Linked DNA regions of Struthio camelus. The protein of the gene in region 1 interacts with the protein of each later gene in a biochemical or structural test. Links are inferred from orthologs where the notes say so. Each region holds a gene or a part of one and is shown in the gene's direction. Other genes may lie near its edges.

Region 1 (9,793 bases):
CCAAGCGCTTAGTTGTAGCACAAATGAACATGATATAAACACACAGGCCCCAGTCTTTCTCCTTCCACACAAAGCTCACAAGAAAGATACCTGGGTTCCTCAGACCTCTGTTGGCTCTAAACGTTTGCACTGAGAGGCCAAGGCTTGCTGGCACCGCTCTCAGAAACGCAGATGGTGCTACAAGCACCTTCTGCCTGAGCCCTGTGACCTCCAGGGAGCTGGTGCATCTCCAAGAAGCCCTTAACCTTCTGAAGGGGTCACCTGTCTTCTTGTCAGGTCCTCTGAACAACCTTTAATCTCTATGTTTTTTATTCTAGAACAATATCAGACGGTTTGCTAGAAGACCATGCCTTTTTCAGCAGTCTTCCTGATGTATCAGGAACTTCACAGAGGACTGAACAGGAGTGGCAACACCCTACTCTCGCTGTAGCTGGTTTCAGCGAGGCTGGGTGTTCACCAGGGATGCTGGAGTACCTACATGCTCTGCCTCCTACCTTTAAGGACAAGCACCTCAAAATACCCCATTTCTTTTTGCTTGCTTGCCAGCTGGATTCTGGTGACATATTCAATTTTTCTGTGCCCTTACTCTTTGTTATTGGTATGAGGATGAAGTAGCCCATAAGCAAAAGAAAGAAATGCATTCTAGTTAGCATAAAAACTGTTCCCCTTAATTCCTTCTCTAACAGTTTGTAGCCTGTGAAATCGAAAAGGCATTTCGTGTTTAGTACAGAAATTGACTTTGGTATATCTTCATTGATTTTTACTATCAACAGAGACTTTCTATTGCATTTTTATGAGAAGATGAATACTTTACGGAGTTGTTGCAGACGTAGCAGTTAGTCTCAAGGGGTACCAGCTACATTTTTTTTGACTCCACAGTGAGCCATTTCAAGGATGTAAACCAAAAGACGACTAATTACTTCAGCAACAGCTAGTGTCTAGATTAGTTTAGGTTTAATTTCAAACTGTGCCCTTAGGCTTCAGTTCAGCAATGTATTTAAACATATGTTTATCTGTTAAGCATATGAGTAATTCCAGTGTACTTACATATTTAAATTTAAGCATCAGTTTAAGTCTGTTCCTGAATTAGCTTCTAAATCATTTGCAATCTAGCCTTGTCTCCAGTGAAAATCATTACGTTACATCCCTGGATTGCTCCAGAAACAGGAAAAAATACTCTGTGTACTTCTTGAGCAAGTTCTCTTGTTTTTACACTAACTTTTTGTTGGGGTTCAGCTTCTGTAAGCAGCTCCAGCCCCAGCCTGAATGCGAAGCTGAATCTGGGATTTGAAGAAATACTTTGGTTTTGGTCAAAATACGCTCAAACTCTACATAGATTTTAGAGAGGAGAGATAAGGTGGGGGCATGGCTTTATCACGTGTTTCAAGTAAATATGTGCCCTTCCCCTTTTCCAGATCCTCCCCTTCCCATCAGAATATTCCCTAGGAAACTTCCTGCCCTTTTCAAGACATGTTGCAATTAGCACTCATACCATGATACACATGCACTGGACACAAGCTTGAGCCTGGCAGAGATTCTGTGTGTATTTTGGGTTGGACATAAATATTAAGGGTTTATCTCAGTTTTCCCTCAGGTCAGATTCGGGTACTATACTGTTTTCCAGTTGAGAATCACTGCCAGATAGTCTCATGTAACTTCACTGAATCTAGCCATACTTCCTAGCCTGATGCAGTGAGGACTAAGGAATCCCATGTCAGTATCCTCTGAATTTTTTTAGCTTTATGAAAAAGACCTCCCTGCCGTGGTCAAGTAGATGGATGTTTTAGACAAGCTGACTGAACCTGACAGTTTTCTGAATGACAGCAGGTGGTGACAGATGAAGCACTGACTTACACAAAGCCACTTAAGTCATGAGCTGGGAATCAAACAATTATAAAGGGAATTTAGAATGGAGAGACATCCTATTTTTGATTTTGATTGTTCTTTTAAAGGGGACACCAATGCTGCGACACTTGTACAAACGCTTACGTTCTTCCTAGGCTAAGTTAATGTTAAGGCCGTACAACATTTCATACTTTGGAAACAAAACATCTCTGATGCAGCTGTTAATGAAAATTGACATTCATATTTTATTTCGAGCTTTTACTTTAATCCCACTGAAATGTAATACACGTGCAGAAAGATGATTCCTCTTTTTTCCCCCCATGAACAAATATCCACAGTTTAAGGTTGTAAAACTGAGCAATTTAGTAATGATGTAAACACAAATGAAAATTAGCCAACAAAAGAAATTCAATGGAGTTAAATAGGAGGCTATTATCATACCTTACATTCCCTTCTGTCACTAGCTGTAGCACCATGGAGAATCAGTAAGGTAAGAACTAACCATAGGGAACAAAGCAATTACCTGCTAATATGGTGCAGTAGTCCAAACACAGCAAAAATAAATTATAAATATGAATGCTACACAAAGATATAACTAAAGGTTTATGCATTTCCAAAGATATATGCTATTCCATACTAATTTTTAATCAAATTGAGTTGCACCACAAGCAAGTAAAAAAAATAACAGTTAGCACAAGCAGATCAAATTAAATGTAAATATTTCTGAAGTCTACACCAAGACTATAATCTCATCTTTCAAGGTATTCGGTTCTTCACTTCCTTTACCGAGTTAGGGAAGCAAGTAGACTAGATTCCCCAAGGCTCGTCACCCTCTATTATTATTTATATTTTTGCCCATTTACTCTAACTGCCACAGATTCAAAATGGTAGCATTCTAGAGCCACTCTGCACTCATTTGGCACACGCATAAAAGTGCACACACAAAAGGCAAAAGGTAGTAGGAATCCCAGGCAATATAAGTTTATTTGATTGTAGTCATTAGTGCTATACATTACAGGTTCAATCCTGCTCCCTTTGATGTTGATGGTAATACTCCCATTGAATTCATGTGCTCTGAAAAATGCCTGAGTTTTGCAAATTTATCATTTTGTCATCTATGCTTCAGGTCAAAATTATAATCTAGTGTTTTAGACTTGATTCTGAGCCAAATGATTTTTACTACAGGTTCAAAGAATGCAAACTTGTCCTTCAGAGAAGTGCCAATCCACTTTACGACGACGAGTAGGATGTTTGAGGCTGAGGGATCCAAGGGATACAAACATCCTGCAGGTGACTATAACCATCCTGAGCTTCCAGGGTCTCACTGCAGCAAACAGCAAGGATGTCACTCTTGCGGGGTGCATTGTGGCTGTCTCCTTAGAAAGGGTTTGGAAAGTTAGGATACCAGATACAGGATACCAGAAGCTAAAGAGACTTTCCAGCATTCTTAGTGTTATGGAACTGCATCTCTCTCAGTGAAATACCTTAAGTCAAGTCCTCAGTCATTCATGTTATCCAGTCCGCCACTTCTAAGTGAAGTAGCTTTCTTTCTTTTCTCATCCTCACTTTATGGCAGCCTCTGGTAGAGAACACTACATGGCAAGAGATGTTATGTAGTGAGAGATAAGTTCTTCTTCTGACTGCAGGCATTCAACCACTTTTAACACAAGTATTCAAGAGGCTCTGAAACTAGACAGGTGAGCGTCCCAAAAATGGGACTACGCTTTTCCCGAAGTCAACAGGAAAGAAAAGAGAATATGGAAAATATTAAATGGATGTCAGATTTAGGACATGTAGGATGTAGGACTTGTTGGACTTGTAGGACTTGTAGGACCCTCCTCTACTTCTTGTTTTACAGTGCCAGTGAAAAGAGGGGTGAAAAATACTAATACCGTGCTTCAAAAATTACTACAAGTCAGATGTCAGATGTAGGACTTGGATTTTGAAAGGATATCTCTCCTTCCCTGCCAAGGTTAAAAGCACAAGGAACCAGAACCTCACCAGAGGACTGGTAACCTGCCGCAGGCTGTGAAGGAATTAAAGAAGGTGAGAAGATTACAGGAAGCTGCAGGCCTGATCTCCAGAACTGACCCTTAGCACTGCCACTGACTTCAGCTGGAGTTAGGAAGTGTTCAGCGGTCCACGAAATCTGGCCCTGAAGAGATTATTTGCACTGGTTTTACTCAAAGAGCGTGTTGCAAAGATGCCACAAGCAGATTTACCATTTCCAGGCAGGTCTGGAAAGAGCAGATAGGGCAGCAGACTGAAGCAAAGAAATATGGCATGTGGCTGGTTGGGCTAAGTTCTCAGCTCTGGAAGAACTGGAGAATGGCTGGTAGAGTTGGTGAGAAAAAACATTGCACGTCTCATGTGTTTTTACACCAGAGAGCCCAAGGAGAATCTTTTATCATCATGTCTTCATTCTACATAGAAAAGCGCATATAGACATCTGTTGATCTCTGCAGCTAATTTTCTCTGGAGCCAACACATTTAACACATTTAAACAGGAGGCAAATCTGTCTTGATGGAGCTATTCTACCAATTTATCCTATCTGATACTCTGGCTCACAATTACTAATGCATCAATGTGGCATTTCTGGCAGAGGGAGACAAACGTAAGAAGAAGGTACTTAAGACATTCCTAAAATAACTTTTCTGCGGTGTATGTGATACATACTCCATGCTGATTTATTGGCACTTATCAGGAATTATATAAGGTAGCCTGCAAAATTTGATTAGGGCCTCGCCACTAACGAGTAATGCAGCCTAGCTGTCACACCAGAAGAATATTTGTTCCCCTCCCAACACATCATTACGTTAGCAGTCTACACTGTTACAGCGACCAAACTGCTATTCACCTCCGTGGGAGCAGCACTGAACCTATAATCATGCCAAAATACCCTCCTCTACTTCTTGTTTTACAGTACCAGTGAAAAGAGGGGTGAAAAATACTAATACCGTGCTTCAAAAATTACTATCGCTACCCAGTTCCACAACAAAATTCTGATGGGATTTATAATACGCCTTTAAACTGCCTTGCAATATTACAAAGAGGAGCTGTCAATTTGGGGAAGAGAGAAAATGTTTTTCTCCTGATTTGTAAACTGGGTTTCCACGCTCTGCCTGGCTAACCCGTGTTTTCACAGCTCACCAACCCGCCTCGGACACCGACACGTGCGCTGGTCGCTTCCATGCTGTTAGGTTGTCAAAGTGCACTGTCAGCTGAGGACTTTCGGTAAAAAGTTCACTGCAAAAGAGAAGCAAGAACTGTAGCGGCTCTTCTTTAACTCAATGGTGATGGAAGAAAAGGATTTCCACTACAGCGTCTTTGCTCTGAGAATTTTAGTGTGTAAATACGTTTGTCTTATTCACTTCGACGCCGTCACCCAGGCTCCCTTTCTTGCCCGTCCTTCCGGCCGGTCCTTCCATTTTTGGCATGGCAAAACCATAACGAGAAAAGAACAGCCCTCTTCCCGCTCCTCTTCCTTCCCCTCATTAATTTCACCTTCGTCCCTTTTCTCCGCTTACCTCCGTGGTCAGGCTAAACTCGGCCTAACTCCCAGCACCGGCTGCCCAGCCCGGCCCCGGGCCCAGCCCCGACCCTTCCTCCCCCGCCGCCCCCGGCCTCGGGGCAACGATCTGCCCAACGGGCCTCTGTCAGCGCCGGGACCGCAGCTCGCTGCCGGCCTCCGGCGCCCACCCGTGCGCGCGGCCCCTGGCGCCCCCGCAGACACACGGCGCAGGGGCGGCGGGGCCGCGGCACTTCAGTGCCTCCCGCCGCAGCAGGCACCGCTGCTCCCCCCCCGGCCCGGGCGGGCCCGGCCGCGCCGCCCCGGCGCTCGCTCGGGCCGGTTTGAGGCGCGCGGCCGGCGGCGCGCCTCTTCGGGAGCTTACGGTAGGCGGCGGCGGCGGTGGCGGCGGCGGCGGCGCGCCGGCCCCGCCCGCGCCGCCCCGGCGGGGCGGGGCGGGCTCGCGCCGGCGGCGGGCGGCGGCGGCGGCGGCACGGCCCCAACGGCGGGCGGCGGCGGGGCTCGGCCGCCCCCGCCCCGCGGCGGGCGGGGTGACATCATGAGAAAGTGCCGGGGGAGGCGGGCAGGAAGCGCCGTCGGAAGCGGGGCCGGCGGCGGGGCGCAGCGGAGCCTCGGGCCGCCGCGGCCCGCCCGTTAAGCACGCCTCGCCGCGAGGCCGAGGGCCGCGCCTCCTCCCCCTCTCTGCCCCCCCCCCCCCGCCCCGCGGCCGTTAGAACCGTTACGGGGCCGTTTCCGGGGAGCCGCCAAGCGGAGCAGATTCGAGGCCGCGTGTGAGGGGAAGCGGCTGAGCCGGAGGGAGGGGAAGGCGCCGGCCGTTACGGGGCCTGGCCGGAGCCCCGGGGCGGCGGTGCCGGTGCCCGGGCCGGCTCCGCAAAGGCGGGCGGGGGGCCGGGGGGAGGACCTCGGCGGGGCGCGCGTGTTGCGGCGCCCTTGCACTTTTGACCAGTCCCCTTTGTGTGGCCGGGAGGGATCGGCCGCGCCGCTCGCCGAGATCTGCCTGATCCGCCTGGTAACAGATCTCCTCCCCCATTGGCTCATGCTAATGGGCGCTTCCTGCGGCCGCGCCGCCCGCGCAGCGCCGGGGGCTCCCCCGGGATCGGGGCCAGCGCCGCCGCCACCGGCACCTCTCGCCCGGCCACCCCCAGCCCCTCCGCGGCGTTTCACGAACGGAAGCCCCCACGTTGCCGGCCTCGTGGAGAAAGGAGAAAAAATGGGGGGGGGAGGTGGAAAAACCCACCCAAGCCGCAGAGGCGGCGGCAGGGCGAGGGCGCCGGAGGCGGGTGATCCTGGGCCTGGGCTGAAGGGCTTTGAGCAAAGTGACCAGAAACAAATGTTTGGAGACAAAAGTGCAGACATGACACTGGCTCCTGGGGGAGGGAAGGGGTTCGGGCCGTGCCTCGCTCCACAAAGCGCTTGGCCTGTAAAATGCCAGGCAGGCCGCACACCAACTGCCCCCTAGGAAGGTGCTGGCGGGCACGGAAGTTAATTAAATGTGATGCCCGAGTTGCCCATCGTTGGCTGGCTGAATTCAACCGGATCTGGCAGTGCGGGGTCATTGTGTGTTTTTTTAGTAAAAATCAAAACTTCCCCAGCCAGCCTAAGTCATGAAAACAGAAGTGAGCTCCCTGCGTGTGCAGCATGATAGACAAGCACGGGGACACGCTTAGGGGACTGCTTCCTTGCTGAGAAACCATCCAGATTCACCCCACAGACTGCAGTGCGCAAGGGGAACTGAGATCCTGGGGCCTCTGCCATATCCTCCTAACAGAGGAAGACAAAATAGGGACAAGTGGTCAAGCAAACTGGAAAGATGGACAGATATTTCATGCAAAGGGGTTACGTAAGCACGCAACTGTGCAACAACATGCCCTGTGATCTTTGGCACTGCTTTCCCCATAGGTCATACAGGAGAGATGCTGTATGGCTTTGTAGCGTGTCGGTTACGGCCGCGAGCCCCCTCCAGTGCTTTGAAACCTGCTGGCGATGCTTCCCTAAATGCTGTTAAGGGGTAGGTACTAGTGCTGTTAATGCTGCGCTAACGTGGTGGTAAACACTGAGGTTGGAGTTAATTTGAGCACTCAGGTGAGCAGAAGAGGAGCTGAACCCTAGTTTATGGCGTTCTCACTTCTCCCTGTCCCATCCACTTCGGTCCAAGACAAGCTGTTTCGCCCTTGGAGCCGTGGGTTGCCTTCACCTCTGCTATTTTCCAGCAGGCCCCAAGCTCCCGTCAGCCTGTTAGAAAGCGGGGAGTTGAATGGAGACTTTTTATTAGAAACAGAGCAAAACACCAAAACATTTTCACATACAAGCGGTTCAGTTGAGCTGGGGGAGCAGGAGTTATTTACGGTGGGGCCGAGCGGTTGCGCGTCACGCGTGGACAGACCGTCCTCGCGGCACAGCGCGTGCAGTGAGGCCCTGGCAGCTCTGGTGGCTGCTGGCACCTCCCCCGTGTAGGTGCTAGCTGTGCAGGAGGAAACTCCGGCCACCATTTTGCAGCTCTGCTGAGATATTTTTTCTGGGTGGCTGTGTGCAGTGGGGGTGGGGTGCTGAGTTTTGGCCTGCCGAGGGTTAACTGCTGCTTTCCGCCCTTGGAATTAGCTATCACCATGTCCCCTGCCACCGCTGAGCCGCTTTTGGAGGGTAAATACTTAAAAGTGAAAGGAAAGACATAAAGAGAGGAAGAAAAAACACCATCTTGGTGGTGGTGGTGGTGGGGGGGGGACCCTAATTTCTTTAAAATTCTCATGTGCAGCAAAAACACGCAGGCTGGGAAAAACAGGAATGAGGAAATGGGAAAAAGCTTCTCCCATGGGATTAACTACAAAGACTCTGGGACTTCAGGTCAGGAGCGCGCTGTTTTAAACAGCAGATATTCCAGGTACACATCGGTAGTAATAATAACTGGTAATTAATAGTGGCACACTGGTACTTCTCTGCCCCCCCTCCCTGGCGCCCCCAGTAAAATAATACCAACTAAGTCTCCTTGTATTTTTATCCATGTGTGTCTGTGTGTGGCCTAGCCCCATTCATCATTTGGCTCCCACTGCAGAACTCTCTCCATTTTAAAAATTATGCATGATACACTGAAGAGACAATTTGGGTTTCCCCCACCTCTCCCTTGCCCTTGAAGAAAGCAAGCCCTTGTCTCATTTGCATTTGCATTAAAACCCTGCTCTCTATAAGCTAAGCAAAGGGGAAGGACTTGAAGCCTATGGGATGGCTTTAGGGCTCTGCCCCTTGCTTTTGGCTCTCTCTCTCTCTTTCTCATTCTCTCTCGTGCTTTGATCTCTGCTTAACAACAGTAACGTCACAGCGACTATACAGGAGAGTTTTGTTGGAAGTTAGAAAGTTTTGCAGCCTCCAGAGGGCTGTAGCGGCAGTAGCAGCAGCAGCATCCAAGGGACTCCTGGAAGGGGAAGAGAGAGAGCGAGCGAGCGCCCGCCCGCCCGCCCGCCTGCCGCAGTCCTTGCGCGAGCTGCCCGGAGCCCCGGAGGCAGCCATGGAGCACCAGCTGCTGTGCTGCGAGGTGGAGACCATCCGGCGGGCCTACCTGGATGCCAACCTCCTCAATGACAGGGTGCTGCAGACCATGCTCAAGGCCGAGGAGACCTGCTCGCCCTCCGTCTCCTACTTCAAGTGCGTGCAGAAAGAAATCTTGCCCTATATGAGGAAAATGGTTGCCACTTGGATGTTGGAGGTTTGTATGTTTCGGCGATTTCTTTGCAAACTGAACTGAATTCAGGCTGCGGGCTGCTCCCCCCTCTGCTGCCGCTCGCGGCCCCCCCCTCCCGAAATAACTTCCCCCGCACGGCACACGTTGCTCTGGCTTCGGCGGCTCCCGCGTGTAACGTCGGGATTGGGGTCGATTTTATCATTATTACTGTAATTATTACTCTCTTATTTCTGCTGTAACGAGCTGCTGCTCTAGAGGGAAGGCTCAGGGCACCCCCCCACCCCCGCGCACGCACACACACACAGACACACAGACACACGCACACACACAGACACGCACCGCTCCCGAAGCGCAGGGTCTGGGGGTGCCCTGGCACCTTTTCCGGCTTTCGGACCAACGCGGTGCTAGTGCAAGGGGAGCGTGGAGAAACCTCGTTTGGAAAATGTCCCCCTTTCAGCCTCCCTGCCTGGGCGCCTTGGCTGGGAACGGCCACATCGCTGGAGCCCCCGGCTCCCCAGTCCGGGGCCATGGGGAAATCCTGCCAGTTATTTTTCTGGGGATTTTATTTTAAATTAATATCCTTGTACACGTATGCAAGTGCTGCCCGTGCCAGTATTATGCGCCATCTTTGTTCTTTTATTGCAAAGCAAAAGTGTTTATTAATCAGGAGAAAATTAGAAAGTCCCGGGGAGCAAGCCAAGGGTGTGTGTGTGGGGGTGAGCGGGCAGGGGCCGGGGAAGAAGGT
Region 2 (9,710 bases), on another chromosome or scaffold:
GTACGTCTGCCCCGTGAGCCCCGTCCCAGACTTTTAATCCCGCGGCCGAGGCAGCCCCTGGGCTGGGAGCGGGAGCGGGAGCGGGAGCGGGAGGAAGGGCGCCAGCGAGGAGCCACAGATGGGAGATGGCCGGGCTCCTCGGGAGTGCCACCTCGTCCCGCCGGCCGCGGGGTCCCAGCAGGCGCTGGCAGGCTGGCCGCCGGCAGGCCCGCTGGCGCGCTTCCCGCTGGCCCTCCTGCCGGGGATTTGGCGAGTCCGGCAGCGTCCCCAGCTGCCGGTCCAGTGGCCGAAAATGTGCCGCTGGCACCGGGCTGCTTCCGGAGCCCCGCGCTTCAGCTAGATCGTAGGAGCAGGGGTCCAGGCATCGGGATTTTTTTTTTCTCTGCGTTTTTTTTCACTGCTCGGCAGCGTGCTCTCCAGCACGTCTTGGCGCTTCTCGAGGCTTGGTTTCCCGGGCTCAGCCCTGGAGAGGCTGCAAGCCCTCTGGTGCGAAGGCTGCCTCGGGTGGAACGCCGGCTCGCTGCGCGGGGCGAGAGGGAGCCGTGCAAACACCGGCCAACGAGCTGCTTTCTGGAAAGAACGTCTGCGTTTTGCCCTTGATTTTCCCCTTGCGTAAGAAACCCAAAAGGCAACTTTCTAAAGAAAGCCGATGAAGCTGTGTGGCTCTCAGCTGAAGAACTGGACGAGAAAGTGCGCCCGGTGGCTGCAGCCAGGTGCGCTGGGTGGAACACGCAGCCCGCGCAGGGGCGAAGGCGCTCGCCCTGCTCGCAGGCTTGCTCTGCACATGGCGTGCTTCTTGGCCGCTCCTGCGACTAGCAATTACTAACGCATACACAAACAAATACGGGGAAGTGCGTGTGTGTGCTTAAACCCCTAACATTATGTTATGGTTCTTTGTACGAAGAAACAATAGCCCCACAGTATAGTTTATTGCTATAATAACGGAAAGATACAATTTGTAAAACATAAAATTATCCACTCTAAACAAAGGCTCTGATTGAAAGAAAAATAAACTAAACAATCACACTGTAATTGGCTTAGATACCTTAATCACTGCCAATTATACAGTGGTTGCATACATTTTACATGGATTTAGGCAATATTTTCTCTCACTGGAATTAGTTAAAACATTATGTGACTCTTAATAAATTATTTTTCTGTAAATATGGCTTAGATTTCTTTGTGTTCTGATTCAACTGTTTAAGAAGGTACGTGATTAAACTAACTTAACACTTCATATTGGAATTAATTGTTAATGCTGAAATGTATTAAAAACACATTTCTTATTGTACCTATGCTTCATCAAAAGCAGCTGCAAAATATTTAGTATATATTTATAATGCATTTGCACACATATTTAACACAGCTAGTGATAGATGAAAATAATTATTTCCCAGGTTCAGTATGAGATGTGATATCTGAACCGTGTTCTTAGGGATAATTGCCTAAGAAATATTACTGCTAACTGTTTTGTTTATAAAACCACTTTCTGTTTGCTAAAGGGACTTTCTAAAAAGCTACATTTATGCTACGATATTCAAACAAATTCTAGCTACTGCAGGTTCTAAATATTCATGTTCTTAATTGAGCTCTGTCACTTCTGCAAGAACAATAGTTATTCTCTCATCTCTGTAGGTGTTTTCTTGAGGATAAACGCCTAGCAAAATCGGTTAAAAATCCTATCCACTAAAACTGAAGATGCAAGTTAATAAACAAAACCTGACAGTACGAATAGCACCATAATCAAAGTGATTTTGTTTCCAAAAACTTTTCTGAAAATACTTAGCTTGAAGAGCAAGTTTCACACTGTTTTGTCTAACTCTTCTTGTAAGATCAAACCGAGGAATCCCCAGCAGAAGCTTAGCTGTTCCTGAAACGCAGATAAAATGCACAAAGCAAAACAATACAGTGCGTCTCATCCTTTTTGAAAGTCTTAGTCTATTCATAACACTTCTTGGTATTGCCCACTACCAGCTCATTTTAATCAATTGCTGTACACTCATTCTGATAATTGCTTGTTAGCCATTTCACGCCACTGGCTTATTCATTATTTCCAGCAAAACATGACAGACCTCATTTTATGAATATGATTATTATGCATCATAGAATATGAATTTAATCTTAGTTTCAGTGTGGTTTAATTTCAAGTTTTATTTCATTCAGATGACACATTAGACTTTTCCTGTTTCAAATGTAGTTCATTATAAGTTGTTTTTCTTTTTCAGTGTTATTTTAAAAAAAACTAGAATTAAAAAATGCTAGGATCGAAAAAAGATTGAAAAACATAATTTCACAAAGCAGAAGAAAAACAGGAAAGGTGCTGATGTAGAAAGAGATTCCTTTTCTTCCTCTTTAGATGTGCGTTCCTAAAGTTTTGTTTTTCCAGTACAATAAATATTTCTTATAAATTATTTAGAAATAGCAACAGATGTTATTCTGACTTCATTTCATAACAGTAGTTATTGAACTTATTAAAACATTATTTTCTCAGATTAGATGTAAATTTCTAAAAATGAATGAAGGTATTTTCAGTAATAAAGGAAATACAGGATATAATAATTTCTGTATAGAAAAACTTCCATTCTTGATAGAAAATAACATGTATGTTCACCTACTCTAACTCAGAAATGTTAAATGTAGAGTGTTACTTTTTTGAAAACAAAACATCAAACATTTGTAAAAGATTGTTACAAAAAGAAAATGAATCTCTATTTAAAATATATTGTTTTGATGATATATACCGTTTTTAAAATGTATGTTATTTGAAACATCCTGACTTTCCACTTTAAAACAAAGGTAAAAGATTTTACATTTTCAAAAAATCCATCCAGTCTAGGTAAGTAATTTCATCCTCTACAACAAATTACTGGCAATACAATCCCTATTATTAGATTGTTTATATGAAATTGTGTTTTTAAATTTCTTCCTGAAATCACATAACTTTTAGATAAAGAAAACTTCATTTTAGAGGTTTGTATGGCTTCTTTGAACTCTGTACTTTGTGACACCTAGTAGTTAAATTGCCTGATCTTACTCATGGAGAGAAGGGAAAAAAGAGCCTCATCACTCTGAAAAATTCCCTGAAAAATTCTTAGTATCACATAAAGCCACATTAACCACGCGGCACTTTTGTGTTTTACACTCACTCAGTTTGATAGAATGAGCATTATAATCTCTCACGGCTTCACTCACTACTATTGACTGCACCTCACAGAAACGCAGATAAAACATTTCTAACTGACAGAACCATTACATATATTCCCCCGAAAAATATTTGGAAAGCATGAGATAAAAGGACGAGCTTATGAGGCACAGTGTTTATTAACAGAATGGTAACATTCGAATGCAAGGGTAAATTTCAGGGGATTGCCGAATTCTCTCTTCCATGTCCATCCTGAACATTAACTTGTATATTAACTTGTCCAAAAAACCCAGTGCACCTTCAGTCACTTTTCACAAACAGAGATCGAGTAGAGTCTGGCTGGAATTTAAAGATACCAGAGATCTTCAAGGGGAGACGGGTACCAAGGCTGTTGCTTGTCCTTCCTCAAAAGGGAACCTGAGGATGATTTGCTGGACTGAGCTTGTTACAGCTCCATAAATATTAGAAAGAAGAAGAAGGAAAAAAAGTCAAGCATGATACATTTAAGAAAGCTATAAATATTACAAGATAAGGAAACAGAGCAAGGTAATCTATGTACCTACGAATCTTGTAATGTGATATGACTTTTCGCATCTTTTAAAAGAAGGTTTGATCTCTGTGTTTCAGGCTTTGTTACTTTCATATTTAAAGGTTTGGAGGGTTGCCATTAATGTCAGCATTTTTATTTTTGATAAATCATATACTTTAGCAAGTTGTTGAGGAATTTCTGTGATTTTAAATAAAATATATTACATGCAGAAACTAAGCTCTTGCAATGTATGCATGGTCTTCAGCAAACATTCACACAACAGTGGCCTTTTCCTTGAAGGGGTCGCTGGCACCAGCTCCCTGTTTTCTCCAGGGGAGATCAGAGGTCTCTCTGCTCTGCTCTCAGCCAGTTCCCCCCGACCTCCGGGTGCTACTTCTAAACCTCTGCAAAAAAGGTAGGGCACATGGCATTGCTGGTGTCAGTTTTGAAGCCAGGACAACAAATTTTGTGTGATTTCATGTCAGCCGGGTAGAGCTGTGAATTCCCACAGAGGAAATACTGTACGTGCTTCTTTCTGACTTGAATTCTTCTAGCTGTATCTATTGTCTGTGTCGTTCTGAGCCATACAGCATCTGAGGCGAAGTCTTCAGCATATACCTTCTGAGCTATAAACCCTGGGAGTTACGCTACGTTTCCCACTGTCAGAGGGGACGGGTGTCTCCTCCCTCCCAGCTAAAGCACGGGCAGACTGGCTGGGGTGGCTCCTCTGCCACTACCGCTGGAGCCACCCCGAGGGCCAGGAAAGCATGTGCTGGAAGGTAGTGGCTGGGCAGGAGGGGAATTAGGCTCTCCAGATGTGGGTGCAGATCTGTTGGCATCTGTTACGTGATTTTTTTTTCTGTGGTGAATTGCACTGTTTGTCGGAATTGGCTCTGTACAACACGTTCTGCACGTCGGGGGAGCCGCTTGCAGCGCGCCCCCCCTCCTGCCGGGACGCAGCCCCCGGCCCCGGCCCTCTCTAGCTGCAAGCCCTTCGGGGCAAAGACTTTGCATGGGGTTTTTTTGTCTTCAGCAAAGAAGTTTCTTGCTGCTTCCCGAAAGCATTCACGGGTGCTTACTTCCTGCCAGGGCTCTGTGCTCTCTCTGAATGAAAAGCAGCAAAAGCCAGAAGAATCGGCGTTTATCAGGAAAAAGAAAAATATATTTATTTCCCAGGGGGGAAAAAAAAGGGGGGGTGGGGTGGGGGGGAAGAAGAGGTTATTTATTTCCCAGCGCCTCGCACACCGACCCAGCGCGCTAGGAGCGAGCCCGGCTCCTGGGCGCTGCCGCGGCGGGCGGAGCACGCGGCCGTGCAGCGCCGAGCACGGCGGGCCGGGCCGGGCCGGGCCGGGCCGGGCCGGGGCCCCGCGCCCCCCCGCGCCCCCCCGCGCCCCCCGGCGCGCCTCGGCCCGGGCCGTGCCTGGCCGCTGCGCTCGCGGCGACCCTTGCGGTATGCGGCTGCCTTTGGCAGAGGCACATGAAGGATTTCATTGAGTGTGAAGACAGAGAGCAGAGACAGAAAGCAGAAGGAGGCGGCTGCAGCCTTTGTAGTCGGGGAGGAATGCGGAAATGTTGAAGCACTATGTCAAACTTTTTTGAAACGGGGTCAAGTCACATTCAGCCAGCGTGGGAAAGCAAGGGAGGAAAAAAAAAAAAAAGTTGAGGAGAGGGAAAAAAAAAAAAAAAGGCAAGCTGCTGCTACTCCCAGACTGAACAGAGGCCGAGAGAGCGAGCGAGGCAGAGAGCGAGCGGAGCCGGCGGAGCGCCGAGCCGAGCCGAGCCGAGCCGAGCCGAGCCGAGCCGAGCCGAGCCGAGCGGCCGCGCCGAGGGCCGGTGCCCGACCCGCGGCGGCAGGCGGCGGCCGGCGGGCTGCGGGCGCGGCGGAGCCGCTCGCACGGGGCTCCCGGCCGCCCTTTTTATTCCGTTTTTTTTTCTTTTCTTTTTCTTTTTCTTTTTTTTTTCCTCTCCCCGGGCAGGGTGGGGGCGGGAGGAGCGGGCTGGAGTACGAGCGGCAGCTGCCTGCTGCGGGAAGGTGCAGCCGGCGGCGGCGGGAGGATGCGAGCCGAGGGCGGCCGAGCCGCGGAGCAGCTACCTGTGTGGCCCGGGCGGCCGCTGCCGCGACCTGCCGGAGAAATCGCCATGTGAAGGGGCCCGGCCGGCTCCACACCCCGCCTCGCTCAATGGGAGGTTTGTTTTAGGGAGGACTCACCCCCTCCCCCCCCACACCCCTCAACCCCCCCCACCCCCACCCCGCCCGGGGCTGAAAATTATTTGGAGATTTGGTGGCGGTGGAGGCAGCCGCGGCGCGCAGCAGGTAATGCGGGAGCGCCCATGTGCTCCGCGCACCCCCCCGCCCCCGCGGCCCACACACCGCCCGCCGCCGGGCCGGGGGCGCAGGCGGCGGCCCCCCGCGGGTGGCCGCTGCCCCGCGGCGCCGCTGCCGTGGGGGCGTCCCACGCCCCGCGCGTCGGCGGCCGCGGGGCGAGGAGCGGGGGGGGGGGAGAAGGGGCGGCTCTGCCCTCCCGCGGAGCCCTCGGGGGGTCCCTCCGCGTCCGACCCGCCGCGCCCGCAGGGGAAGCGTGGGGGCACCGCGGGTCCCAGCGCGCTTCCTCGCTGTGCCCCCCGCCGCGCCCCGGCGGAGAGCTGGGCGTGGGGGCACCGCGGGGGCGGCCGCAGCCCCCCCCCCCCCCGCCGCCGCCGCCGCCCTGCGCGCGGTAACTTTCCACAGGGCGCCGCGGCCGCGCCGGGCCCGGCTCGCCGCCCCCGCGGCCACGCACACGCGCGGCGCCGCTCCCGCCGCCGGGGGGCGCCCCCCGGCCCGGCCCGGCTCGGCTCGGCTCGGCTCGGCCCGGCGCCGCCCGCCACGCGCCCCCGCGGCGGCGGTGCGCGGAGCGGCGGCGGCGGCGGCGGCGGGCAGGTCGCGGGCAGGTGGCGGCGGCGGCGGGCCGGGGCGGCGGGGCGCGCACGTCGGCGGCGCGGCCGGAGGGCGCTGAGGCGAGGCGGCGCCTCGCTGCAGCTGGAGGTGCCGCTGGGGAAAACGGCCGCGCGGCGGGCACGGGAGCTTTCCTTCACGTTGCGCCTCTTCTTTGCATCGTCGGCTACGGCGTAAGGTCAGCGCACACTTTAAATTGCTGCTGGCTCTGTGCGTGGGCTCCCGCCTAGGGGATCGCCAGTGCAGTACCTGCGGGGCTGTTATCCTAGCGTGGTAAAAATACAGCGCCGGAGCGGCTCGCAGGCGCAGTAGCAGTATACGAAAAGGGGAGGGGGAGGATCGGTGTGGAGTTATGGGGGGGGAGAGGGTTTGCCCGCGATTCTGCGGAAAGCGGGGATGAAACTGGGTGCAGGAGCGACCTGTTTTGATCTCCAGTCTCACGCACTGCACGGCGGACCACGCTGATCCTGCAGACTGGCTTTCATCCTGTGCCCCATCACACAGCGTCCGGCAAGGGGCTGCCAGTCACACATCCAGGGATAGCCGTCGCCATGGCCAAAACTCTTGCATGATCTTAACTTTGCTAAAGTGTGCGTTTCGCAAAATACCTCAGCACCAAATACTCAGTAAAACATTATTATTATTATATGTTATATGTATATATATATATATGTGTGTGTGTGTTTACTCCCCACAGGCTCTTTGAGGCAGAAGCTTGTCTCGTGCAGTGTGTTCGTGCAGTGTCTAGCACATTGGAGAGTAGATCAAGGCTGAGACTTCCAAGTGCTATAAATAAGTAACTGTAATATAGTGTGGAATATGTTTCAAGGACTCCATCATGCAACACTGAAGAAACCTTTGAGTCCTGCAGTCCTGACATAAGGTCCTGGACATAACTTCCTACCACACACGCAGAGTTAGCTCTGTCATCCACGTCTCAGTGGATATTAGGCCCATTGCTCAGTAAAGTCCCGAGGAGTGCGGGTGTGTGTTGTGCAGACCATGGTAGCTACGTAGTGTTGTATCAAGCATGCCAAGATGTTGATATCTTGTCACCCTCGTGGTTCATGTCCTGCTCTTCCTTTGCCCCATTTTTGCTTTGCAGTTAGCTATCTTCTATATTGGCTTAATTTTCTCAGTTTTAAACCATGCAAAGTAGTGAGGTAAACTGAAAGCACGAGTTGCATGTGCCGCAGCAGGGGGAGGAAGGCCGGAGGGGAGAGAACCCCAGGCCTAACTCACTTTTCTTGCTTGCTTTGTGCTTCAGATCTCCTTGGCTTTGCGCAGACGATGCTCCCCAAGACTGCATGATAGTTCCTGGTGGCTGAGGCAGGAGGCACGTCGGGGCCTGTACAGAGGAAGGACGGGAGCCGGAGGGCAAGGACTTCCTACTGCTCCTCGAGCAGAGGTACCAACCGTGCGGCGTATCTGCGACGTGAGCAAAATACTAGTTTTCGGAAAGCGGGCGAGGGCGGGAGCCGCGCCTGAGGCACTCCAGGCGCAGGAGGAAGAGGAGCGGCGCCAGCATGGATAAGGACAGCACAAACCTGGCTGACCAGCAGTACGAATGTGTGGCTGAGATCGGTGAGGGAGCCTACGGGAAGGTGTTCAAGGCCCGAGACTTGAAGAACGGCGGCCGCTTTGTGGCGTTGAAGCGGGTGCGGGTGCAGACGAGCGAGGAGGGGATGCCGCTGTCCACCATCCGAGAGGTGGCGGTGCTGAGGCACCTGGAGACCTTTGAGCATCCCAACGTGGTCAGGTGAGGAACCGGGGCGAGCGCCCTGGTCAGCAGGGCCCTAGCTGTGGTACGTGCGTGAGAGTCTGGGTACCTGCGTGGAGCAGCCAGCAGGCTGGGCTCGTGGATGAAGCGAGCGGTAACCTGGAGCGCGGTCTGAGGTTTCAGCAGGCGGCGGTGCTGCCTGCCGGGCCTCCCCTCGTCCGTGCGCGCTGCCTCCCCCGCGCGCAAACACCCGTCTCCAGAGGCGTAGGTGTGTGACTGAAGCATGGGAGTGCACGGGCAAGGAGCCATGTGTGCGCTGTCTCCGCGGGCGTAACAGAACGAAAGAAAGCGGCAGCTCTCCCGGTCTCAGGTGCTAGTGCTGCCGGCCGCAGGTGACTCTCAGCAGCTCTCTTCGGGACCAGGACGGCAATGTTTGCCACAGTGCTGATGGCGAGGGCATGCCACCTTTTCAGATGATTTTATAGACGCATGTAGCTTGTCATGGTACACACAAGGGATAGGTTAAGAATTTATGCTTTGGGGAAGGTTTTACAGCTCAGTGCTGCTTCACTGTTACTGATTTCACCGAGTGCTCATGGCTGGGCTACCAAAAGCGAAGAAGAACAAAATGCAGGCCTTGCTTTCAAAATGGTGCCACTGGCACCAGGGGTAAACCCTGAGTAAATGACCCATCAGCGGCAGCACTGGCCCTGACGTAAGCTTGTACGTTTCCATGTAACTAGAAAAGTCGAGCATGTAGTCGCTGGCTGAGTGAAACGGTTTACTGGACTTTTCAGGTTGTGATGAAGGAAGCACAAAATATGGAGGGAGTTTCTTCTAAGGCTTTTTTTTCCTGGAACACGGTACGGAGGCATTTCCTACTGTATGATTTATCTGCTGCTGGCTTTGTGCTTCAGATTTACTGCATGGTCACACCTTAGATTGACCAAAAGTTTTAGAAGATGATTTTGGTGTAGATTTCACTCACAACCTCTAGCAGCCTGTGAGAGTCTTTCTGAATGCTATGAACTTTAACAAATAAGCTTCACTTTGCCGATTGCCAGGTACACAGTGGTTTGAAGCTGGTCTGCATCTAGCGGGTGATGCAGTATTAAGAAGAATACTTCCTGTTATTTATATTATTGTATGCACGCCTTTTATAGCAAAAGGAAAATATTTCATTCTTTACTAATACCAAGCCTCTTTCAGGCCTAGAGAAACAGAGATATTCTGATGCCAGAGGTGATTTTCAAACTGGCTTGTAGCTGTGATCCTCATGTGTGTTTAAGGTCTGAGATGAGGGTTTTTATAAGAGCCACAAGAGGAAAGGCAAGACAGGAAATATTTAAAATGCAAAAGTGAATAGCTAGAGATAAATTCATTTTCT
Region 3 (9,160 bases), on another chromosome or scaffold:
CACCTGGTTTTGCGTTTGAGGAGAGAGACAGCCTGGCTCTCACTGGCAGGAGCAATTCCTGCTCTTACGAGCTGCCTCTTCAGGTCGTTGAAAGTCAGGAGCCCAGTATTATCGCTGAGATTATTATTAACAACCCAGACAAAGCCTGTTGTACAGGTGGTTTTCCTTTTGACAGCATCTTCTGAAACGCTCACTGGCAGCAGCTGGTGTGGCATCCCTCAGTGGTACAGACCGGGGTGGGACGGAGGCTTTGCCGCCCTCCCGCTCCCTCTCTCCCGGGGCTGGCAAGGCCCTCAGGGCTGCTCTTAATTTCACTTCAGTCCTCATTGCTGGCAGGGGCCCCGAGGAGCAGAAAATAGCTGCACAGCGGTTCGCTCTGGTCTGGGTGCTGCCTTGCCTGGCGAGAGCGAAAGAGCAGCCTTATACCGGTGCTTGAGCAAGCCAGGAGGCAGGCTGCATGGGGCAGGCTCCTGCGTGGGGCGTTTCTGGCCCTGTTTCTTCACGGGGGCAGCGCTCAGGGCCAGCAGAGCAGCTCCCAGCGGGCCGAGAGCGATGCTCCCCGAGCCCCCGCCGCGGCCTGGGAGCCTGCTCTCTCCCCCATGGGAGGGCTGCGCTGCGGCGTGCCAGGGCCCCCCATATTTGGTCAGTGACACAGCGTTTTAGCTGCTTTGATTGGCACTGACGGGGATCGAGACAGGCACCGGCTGAGCCTCGGGGCCAGCCGGGGCGGCAGCTGCAGCCATCGGTCGCGCACGCCATCCCTGGCCGGGTAGCGCAAGACCGGGGAGACGTTCCTCATGCGCCCTGAGCATCACGGCGCCTGCAAAGGGGGCCACGTTCACCCGCTCTGCGACTCCCCGGAGAGCGCCGGGGCGCCAGCCAGGTGCCGGCACACGCACAGTGAGCCTCCAAGAGCCCGTCGCCCTCAGCCTTTCCTCCCAGAGGTTCCTGCCTGCCGCAGGCTCCCTGCAGGGGTGAATGACCCTGGCTGTGCTGGAGCGGGCAGGGACGATGGCAGGGCTCCCTTGGGCTGCCCTCCAAGTCCCCCTTGGTGCCATTTCGACAGCCACGCGCAGCGGGAGCTGCCCGCTGCTCCGCTCAGCGCCTCAGGAGCAGCTCAGGCGCCATCCATGCTCTCCACTGCACAGTGACTTGGCCAGAAGCAATATGAATCTGAGGCAAAGAAGAGAAGGTCAGAGTCAGATTTATTCCTCTTTCGTCCTGAGAGCTGTGGGCACTTCTGCAGAGAGGCACGCACCTTCCATCTCCAGCACTGTCCGCAGCGGTCGGCGGCCGGCCCGGGAGTGAGGTGCCGGGAGCACCCCTTCCCTCTTCCCGGCACCCTGGAAGAGCAGCTCCTTCCAGGCTGGAGCACAGCAGCTGTTTCAGTCTGCAGCGATGCAGCCTGGCTGTCTCGCCTAAGAGTGACCCTTGCGATCTGGGATGGGCAAAGAGCACCACCCTGCACGGTGCTCAGCGGGCACTTGACCTAGGAGAAAACTTACATGACAGTTCCCCACACTAACATTTCAGTTCCCCTCTTTTTTCAATTCCAAGCCCCTTTTTCCAACCAGCAGCCTTCAGAAGCAGGAGTCTGGCACGGGCACCTCTCCGGTCTCACGCCTCTGCTAAGCACTGGTGGTGAGAAATAGGGGTCTGGCACTGAGACATCCCCCCCACCCCCTGCTCCAGCCCAGCTCTGGGACTTTTAGGATTCTTCTTTCTCTTTCTCTTCCTTGGACTGTTCCTCCTTGGGCTGTTCCTCCTTGGGCTGTTCTTCCTTGCCCTCCGGCTGCTTCTGGTGGGTTATCTTCACCTCGTTGACTCTGGCCTTCACCTCCTTCCCGGTCCGAGGAGCCACAATACTTAAGATGCCGTCATGGGACAAGGTGGCTCTCACCAGCAAGGGGTCGACATCCAGCGGGAGGATGTAGGTCCTGGTGAACTCTCGGGAGATGAAGCCGTGACGGTCAGACTTTTGCGGGTGCTGCCCCATCACCTCCAGCAGGTTGTCCACGGTGCGGACAGTGAGCTCATCCGGCAAGAAGTGACAGACATCCAGGAACACCTGGAATTTGTGGTCGTTGAGGCTGATCTCGGAGGTGCCTCGATCCAGCTGCTTGTTGATCCGAGGCCTGATGTAGTAGCCATGATACAGGGCAGGAGCTAAAATCTCACATGGGGACACACCTGAAAGTGAGACCCAGTGAGGAGCATGGGGTTCCCAGGGGAAGGAGTGGGAGGAGGATGGTTGGCAGCAGATGTGATGGGGACAGGAGGAGGCTGGGATGTGGCAAACAGGTTCCTTGGTTTTGCAGCTGCACCAGCTGCACAAAAGGGAGCGAATCTCCAGCTGTTCCTGCCTTTGTGTCTCCAAAGCACATGCTTGGGGCCAGCCGCCGGCCGGCCACCACCTCCCGCCAGGCAGCCAAGGGCTGGTGGCCAGCTCTCGGGTGTTTGCCGGCCGGGCAGGGAGGGACTGGTAGGTGCGCTGGGTGCTCTGCGGAGCCAGGCGCAGGGCTGGGCACGGAAAACGCTGACGGTGAAGAAATTGGGCCGAGGAACTAAAGCCCTTTTGTGTGCCATTGTCTGGGGGGCTTTTCTTGGGGCTTTTTGCCTTTTCACGCTGTTGTGCGGGTGCTGAATGGTTCTGCTGCTGCCCACATTCCTTCCCCGCTGCCAGCCGCTGCCGGGCTTTGTGCTCAACACCCCAGCTCAGCTTTTCTCCACTGCCCCCGGCTGCAAAAACCCCTCCCTGCACTAGCACTTTCCAAAAGGGCCTAATTTTCATCCCTGCCCCTGGCACTGTGGCAGTGGCCCTTCTGCTCAGGAGCTCTGCCCGGCGGCTGCTCACAGCAGCTGGGGCAGGGAGGTGGGCAGGTGGGGGGTCTCCGCTCAGCCATCCCTTATTAGCGAAGGAGAGCATGGAGGCAGGTCCTGCGCAGCCTTGTGACCGTACGGCCTTCTGCTGGGGTTAGCGTGGGGCACGAGGCACCCGGGGGCTGCCGGGGGACGGCAGCCCGACATGTAGAAGGGTTGCAGCAGGGCGTTTCGCTCCGTGTTTGCACAGCATGCGCACGAAGGCCAGCAAGGTGGGGGTGTGAGGGAGGGGAGGAGAGGAACGAGGCAGGGATGGAGGGAAGCGAACCGGCAGAGGCACTCTCCAGATGTGCCCCCTGATCTGACCTGGGTTCCTGCGCTCCGCAGCTCCCTTGGCTCCAGCCTCGCTGGCCCGCTCTGGAGGTGAATCCCTCCAGAGGGACTCTGCCGGCTCTCCTGCCTCGGAGGACGGAAAGGTGCCGGGAAGACGCCGGCTTCCTCCTTACCTTCCCCGAAGTTCTGGTCGTAGATCTTGCTGGGGCTGGCAAACTCGTACTCCGAACTCATGGGGTAGGCGTGGGGGACGGTCCGTGCAGCCATGGTGCCTCCGGGACGGGGACCTTGCGAGCGCTCGCTGCCGCTGAGAGTGAAGGCTGCAGATTGCAAGGCTTTAATGGGGTGAATTCCACAGGGAGGAGTGTGTGATAAAAAGACGGACCAAAATAGCCGCGCACACAGGCCCAGAGACGCCTCGCCAGGGTGACGAGGGAAGCTCCTTGCTGCATTCCTGCGGGGAGTCCAGGCACTGCCGCAGGCGGGGGTGCCTGGCGAAAATCCTGCGCCTCCCCTGGGATCTGCTCCTTGAGCAGGGCGTGCGGAGGCAAGCGGGCCGCCGAGCGGGGCCGGGTGGCGAGGGGGCGAGCTGGGGGAGGCCGTGGAGCGGGGGAGAGCCGGCTGGATGCTGGGCACCGCTGCCTACCCATCCTATGCCCTACAGAGGAGCTTGGTTTTCCCAGGAGCCGCGTGGAGGCACGAGCCTTTTGTTCCTGCGAGCGCTAAGGTCCTGCAGGTTAAACTAGCCCAGGTTAAGCTGGCCTAGACGGGATCCAGATCCCTCTACCAGCACCTCCACAACCCAGACGGTGCTGCTGGAGATGGCGGTCCACCTGGTCCTGGGCTTCGGCATTGTGTGATGAGACCTGGAGAAATGCCCAAGGCAGGGACCCTCAGTTAACTGGGGAGCTGAATTTGGCATAGGTCCAGTTTTACTGAACTGGGAGGGATAGTCCTCACTAAGCTCCTTATACCCTGAAACCAGAGATCGCCCTGAGTCCACGTCCCCGCAGCAGGAGAGAGCGGGTGCTCTGCCGTTGATGTAATGTGGAACTGGAGGAGGCATTTACGGCCCGGGCTGTTGCGCAGAGAGAAAGCCGCTCCCCAGTCCAGCAGGCAAGTTGAAAGGAAGAGGGCCAGAGCCCTGCGCAAGGGACCAGTGGTGCTAGCAGCAAGAAGGATGTGCCGCTGAGCCAGTAACCTGTATTTGAGTTGCAAGCTCTCAGAGGCACGGACTAGCTCTTGACTTGTAAGGACAGCCCCAGGGCTGAACCTTGTCCCATGTTCACGAGCAGGAATTAAGGCAAATGGGCAAAAAAGTTAGGGCATATTAGGAGTATTAATTATAGGAAATGAGCTTACTGCAGGAGCACAAGCAGACAGGGGCAGGCAAGCATGCAGCTTGCCTCCGTGAGAGGGCACGTCACCGGGCAGCAGCCCTTCCTGCACCGCCAGGGCTGAGCTCACCGAGTATTAGGCTCTTCTGCTCTCTCCAGCGAACTCATTTCTGCAGTGGGCAAAGCAGTTTGATGCACTGTGGAGGAAGGCATCTTTCGTTTGCGCCCAGACCAGCGGGCCTGCACTAAGGCGGCGGGGCTCACGTCGCCTGTGCGTGCCGGGCTGCAGAGAGCCACTCTGCTGGGGGCAACCAGATCTCCTGGGGTCTTTACTGATTTCCCCCTCATTAAACCAGCCCTGGCTTCCTTTGCCTGGAGGAGAGGCAGAGCTCTCCCCAGACCCGTGGGTGATGCCGGGAGCCAGAGCCCCGAGGCTGGCAGCAGAAACAACAGCCCCTTTTCATTTTCCGTGTGAGCCAAAGATAGGAGCTGCATTGATCCTGCTGGCATCCGAAGCAGCTGGGAGCATCAGCCAAGCCGGCTTGGGACTCTGCAGATAAACAGCACGTGGGGGAGCAGGGCGGGCGGCGGGGCAGTTTGGCTTCTTGCTGCCCCGTCAGACTCCTTTTCTTCTTCTCGCCTTCCCCCTCCTCCTCAGCAGCGTGTTCAAATCCCCCAGACAGCTACTGGGCACAGCTGAAGGGACCGGCCCAGGAGTGGGACAATAAAATCCCTGACATCACCGTTTGCGCGGGCTCGGCGGGGGGAGCCAGGCCAGCCGCACGGCTATAAAGCTGCCCCGGCTCCCCGCCGAGCGTTGCAGCAGTCGCCGGCCCCGCTCCTCCCGCACGCTCCAATGGATATCACCATCCACAACCCCCTGATCCGCCGGCCCCTCCTGTCTTTGTTGGCGCCGAGTCGCATCTTCGACCAGACTTTTGGGGAGCATCTGCAGGAGTCGGAGCTGCTCCCTACCTCCCCCGGCCTCAGCACCTTCCTGATGCGATCTCCCATCTTTCGGATGCCCAGCTGGATAGAGACTGGGCTCTCTGAGGTAACCTTCCCTTCTTACTGCTCTGTGCTATTGCTGCCTGCACATCCTGATGTCTCTGGAGCTGGGGACCGTGATGGCTGAGAGCTGGGAAGCTGCTGGCAGGCGGTTATTAGGAAAAGCCTGGGGGAAAAGGTGCTGTGCTTGTGTCTCCGCTTCTCCGCAGCGGGCAAGGGCCTCTGCCTGCTCTGCTAACCGTTCCTGACTGCGAGCAAGCATTGCCATAGCCTTGGGCACAGGCAGGCTGAGCTGAGTCTGTGCTGCAAATGACTGTAAGAGTTGAGGGGAGAAAGGACGAAACCTAAATTCCCTGTCTGCTCTGCGAAACTTTCAAACCCACTCCCTCCTGAGAAGGGAAGGGAGCCCCGGAGCGGTGGGATCCTCGTACGGGAGGCTGGGGTTCGTGGGTAAAAAGGGGTCCGTTTTGGAGTGTCACTGCTGAGCAGAGCAGCATTTTGAGAAATACACAGGACCCAACTGACCACGAAATAGCCCTCCAGCCCTGTCTGTCTCCCACACTCCCTTGTTCTGCCAATGCAGTGAGAGCTGCTTCGCGTTTCTGGACCTGCATGCATGTTCGTAGTGATCCCAGGGGTGAAGACGACTTTTATCCTGGCCAGAGTGCTCCGGGGAGGCTAGAGGAAAACCTAGCGAGGAGTGGCTCTCCCTCGGAGGCCGGAGTGGTGCTGCATCCCCAAGCAGCTGCTGGGATACATCACCACCGGGCACATCTGTGCTGAGCTGAGGAGGCCGCATCTAGGTGTCAGCACAGGCCAGAGATCCTGGGCGGACGTCAGGAGCGAATCCTGCCTGTCTGTAACTCGCAGGGGGAACCAACCTGCACGGCCTTCCTCCTAAAAGGCGGATGGCTGAGCCCTGGCGCTGCCGGCCTGCTGTGGGAGACCCAGCGCACGACGGGGCAGGCATGCCTGCCGCCGGCCGCCTCTCCTCCTGCCCTCACCCTCGGAGCCCCAGCACCTTTTGCAGAGAAGAGCCAGGAAAATCCGATCTCCAAACCACTTTTTCCCCAGACATCGTGTCGCCTCTGAGCGGAAGGCGCGCAGCTCCCAGCTCTCCGGTGGTTCCCGCATTGCTTTGCCCTGCGCTGGCTACACCAGACCCCAGCACCTCACCGACAAGTGTCCGCTGTGGCTGGCAGAGCCTGGGAAGCCCAGGGCTGCCCTCCCTCTGGGCAGAGCTGGTCCCCACTACGGGAACCTCTCCAGCCCTCGCTCGGCTCACAGCAGGTCCCGCGGCCAGGAGCAGCGCAGGAAGAGCAGCAGCTCTCGTAGCAGCGGCGGAGCTGGGGGACTAATACACAACCTGTGCGGCCAGGAGCTCTGCTGCAGTGGCCCTGGGGCAGGGAGACAACGGGCTGCTGTGCATCCCTAGCAGCCCTGGATGCCGTGGGGATGGCGAGATGCTTGTATACGACTGGACTCGCGTGGTCTTATAGGCGCCACGGCCCCACCAGTAGCTCTTCTGGCTCAAAGTGGCAGTGCTGCGGGGGCTGAGCCAAGGGGCATGCAGCTCGAAGGGCCTTGCCTGGTCTGCAAGTCAGCTGTCTATTTACAAGTAACTTGCAGAGCTATTCTAAGCCAAAGGAGCGAGAGGAAAGTATTTCTTAATCTTTCCATAATGTTTCACTTGATTTGGCAAACGGGGACTGGCTGTCCCCAGAAGCAGCCATATCAAGCACCATAGAAAACAGCATCCCACTGCCTCAGTGGAGAAATCTCTGTCACAAATACGTTTGAAGGAGGAGAAGGAAGCAGAAACCAGCAAGCGTAGAGCTGGCAGGGAGGCTACCTCCACGTCCCAGAGCAGAGCTCCGGGAGGCTTGCGTGCTCCCTCACCACGAATGCAATAGGAAGGCAGAGATAGCCAGCTCACATAGCAAAGTCCCAGGAGCTTGTCCAAGCCACGGAGGTAGGTGATGGGAAACAAAGGTGAAGCAACCTCACCAGAGGAACCAGAAAAAGCAGCATTTGCTAGAGGTGATAAAGCATAAAATGAAGGAGAAGGAGGCAAGATTAGCAGCAGGTGACTCAGTTTCATCAGAAATCTTGCTGCTCAGATAAGAGAGGCAGGTAGTGAGGTGGCAGTGTTTGCTGGTGACACATTATTTTGGTTACTAGAGAGTGACAATAGAGGGGAAAGCCTGCAAGTGGCACAGATGAGCCGCAGTCAGCTAGCTGCACGGTCAGGCTTCTTTAAAGACCTTGCAAAATCCAGCTACAGGGACTGGAAATCTGCAGACATTCTGTAAAAAGAACCAGATACAAAACCTGCAGGCCAACTAATGAGTCCCTTTTAGCAAATTCAAGTTGAGAGAGTCTCTTCGCCACCCCCAGGAAAACACTTACGCCGTGTAATCAAGAGAAAGAAAGGCATCACACTTTAGTGATGGGCACTAGTGTAACAGGCTAGAAAGAGACAAACCCAGCTGGGTCAGAACCCCAGGGCTGGATGAGGGAGATCGGACAGTGCTGTTTCTTCTCAGCTTTTTAGGTGAGGGCATGTGGAGGTACCCGCTTAAGTCTTGAACTGTTATATTCTGAGCACCTTTTAAGGCTGAAACCCTCACCTGCTCTTCTCTGAAGTCATCTCCTTATTTTGCAGATGCGACTGGAGAAGGACAAGTTTTCTGTTAACCTTGATGTGAAGCATTTCTCTCCTGAGGAGCTGAAAGTCAAGGTGTTAGGAGACATGATAGATATTCACGGGAAACATGAGGAGCGCCAGGTACTTTTGCTCTTACTATGTGACTGATAGAGTCAGTTCTGAACTTCCTCATCTGTGGTTAAACAAGGAGACTGCAAACCCGTCCTGTTCTGTGCTCATCTGCAAACGCTTCTAGTGGTTTTTATCAACTGATCCTAACGGAAGATGCTCTGTGTAACCCCTCCACTAATCCCAGACTGGGCAGCAGCAGGGTAGAGTTTTATTGCCGGTGATATATGAACTGTGAACCGAACTGGAAAATCAACTTTGAAATGTGCATTTCTGAGCCTCCATCTTGCTGGGAAGAGGCCAGGAATGCAGGGAGGCATTCAATAAGTTAACAATGAACTCTAATAATTAAACCACACAATGAATAGTCCATTACCCTGTTCTATTAGCAGGAGGTTATCTCTTCCTGAAAAAGGCCCATTTACCGGTTTGTAATCTTTAAGGGTTGTGTTCTGCTGCCAGTCATCCTACCGCCTGCTGGCCCTGGAGACCTGTGTGCCAGCTGGGCAGAGAGAAGTCAAAAGCCATGTACAAGGTTGTACAAAACAGGGTTTTCCAGTTCCTCCTCCCCGCCTCAGCAGAAACAAATCCTGGTGGTAAAGCAGCTATGCCGGTGTGACTGTCAGCACTAAGAGCTTCTGGGAGCACAGATTTCTCAGTCAGGAAATACAGCATTGCCTGACATAGCTGCGGGAAGCTTCTAATTCTGATACTGCTTCTGCAAAGTTTTCTGGCTAGGAAAATAACCAAATACTTTAGCAGACATTAGCTCACTGGGAAGCTGTGTTTTACAAGAGCTCTGGAGACCCTTGGGAATAGGTGTGGGTGGTACCGGATACAGCTCCAGCATCTTAGGAACAGCAGCACCCCACTGCGTGACGAAGGC

What was found.
Region 2: the proteins of CCND1 (region 1) and CDK6 form a complex in vitro, tested with the Homo sapiens proteins (3 studies listed by BioGRID and IntAct, with this or other methods). The link is inferred for Struthio camelus from reciprocal best matches to the Homo sapiens genes CCND1 and CDK6.
Region 3: of the proteins of CCND1 (region 1) and CRYAB, one has a biochemical effect on the other in vitro, tested with the Homo sapiens proteins (2 studies listed by BioGRID, with this or other methods). The link is inferred for Struthio camelus from reciprocal best matches to the Homo sapiens genes CCND1 and CRYAB.

Annotation. Positions count from the first base shown.
Region 1 is NC_090946.1:32,622,189-32,631,981, forward strand, and holds the start of CCND1 (G1/S-specific cyclin-D1), read left to right. Parts: upstream 1-5,620; 5' UTR 5,621-5,740; exon of another isoform or gene 5,741-5,798; intron 5,799-5,967; exon of another isoform or gene 5,968-6,145; intron 6,146-6,362; exon of another isoform or gene 6,363-7,274; 5' UTR 7,275-7,370; coding exon 7,371-7,383; exon of another isoform or gene 7,384-8,253; intron 8,254-8,677; coding exon 8,678-9,072; intron 9,073-9,793. UniProt on the Homo sapiens protein: Regulatory component of the cyclin D1-CDK4 (DC) complex that phosphorylates and inhibits members of the retinoblastoma (RB) protein family including RB1 and regulates the cell-cycle during G(1)/S transition.
Region 2 is NC_090943.1:27,482,620-27,492,329, reverse strand, and holds the start of CDK6 (cyclin-dependent kinase 6), read left to right. Parts: upstream 1-5,498; 5' UTR 5,499-5,858; intron 5,859-5,870; exon of another isoform or gene 5,871-5,985; intron 5,986-6,628; exon of another isoform or gene 6,629-6,781; intron 6,782-7,038; exon of another isoform or gene 7,039-7,193; intron 7,194-7,300; exon of another isoform or gene 7,301-7,486; intron 7,487-7,870; 5' UTR 7,871-8,129; coding exon 8,130-8,362; intron 8,363-9,710. UniProt on the Homo sapiens protein: Serine/threonine-protein kinase involved in the control of the cell cycle and differentiation; promotes G1/S transition. Phosphorylates pRB/RB1 and NPM1.
Region 3 is NC_090963.1:2,722,812-2,731,971, forward strand, and holds the start of CRYAB (alpha-crystallin B chain), read left to right. Parts: upstream 1-5,124; 5' UTR 5,125-5,346; coding exon 5,347-5,544; intron 5,545-8,163; coding exon 8,164-8,286; intron 8,287-9,160. Other genes in the region: HSPB2 (heat shock protein beta-2), read right to left, coding at 1,709-2,190, 3,327-3,420. UniProt on the Homo sapiens protein: May contribute to the transparency and refractive index of the lens. Has chaperone-like activity, preventing aggregation of various proteins under a wide range of stress conditions.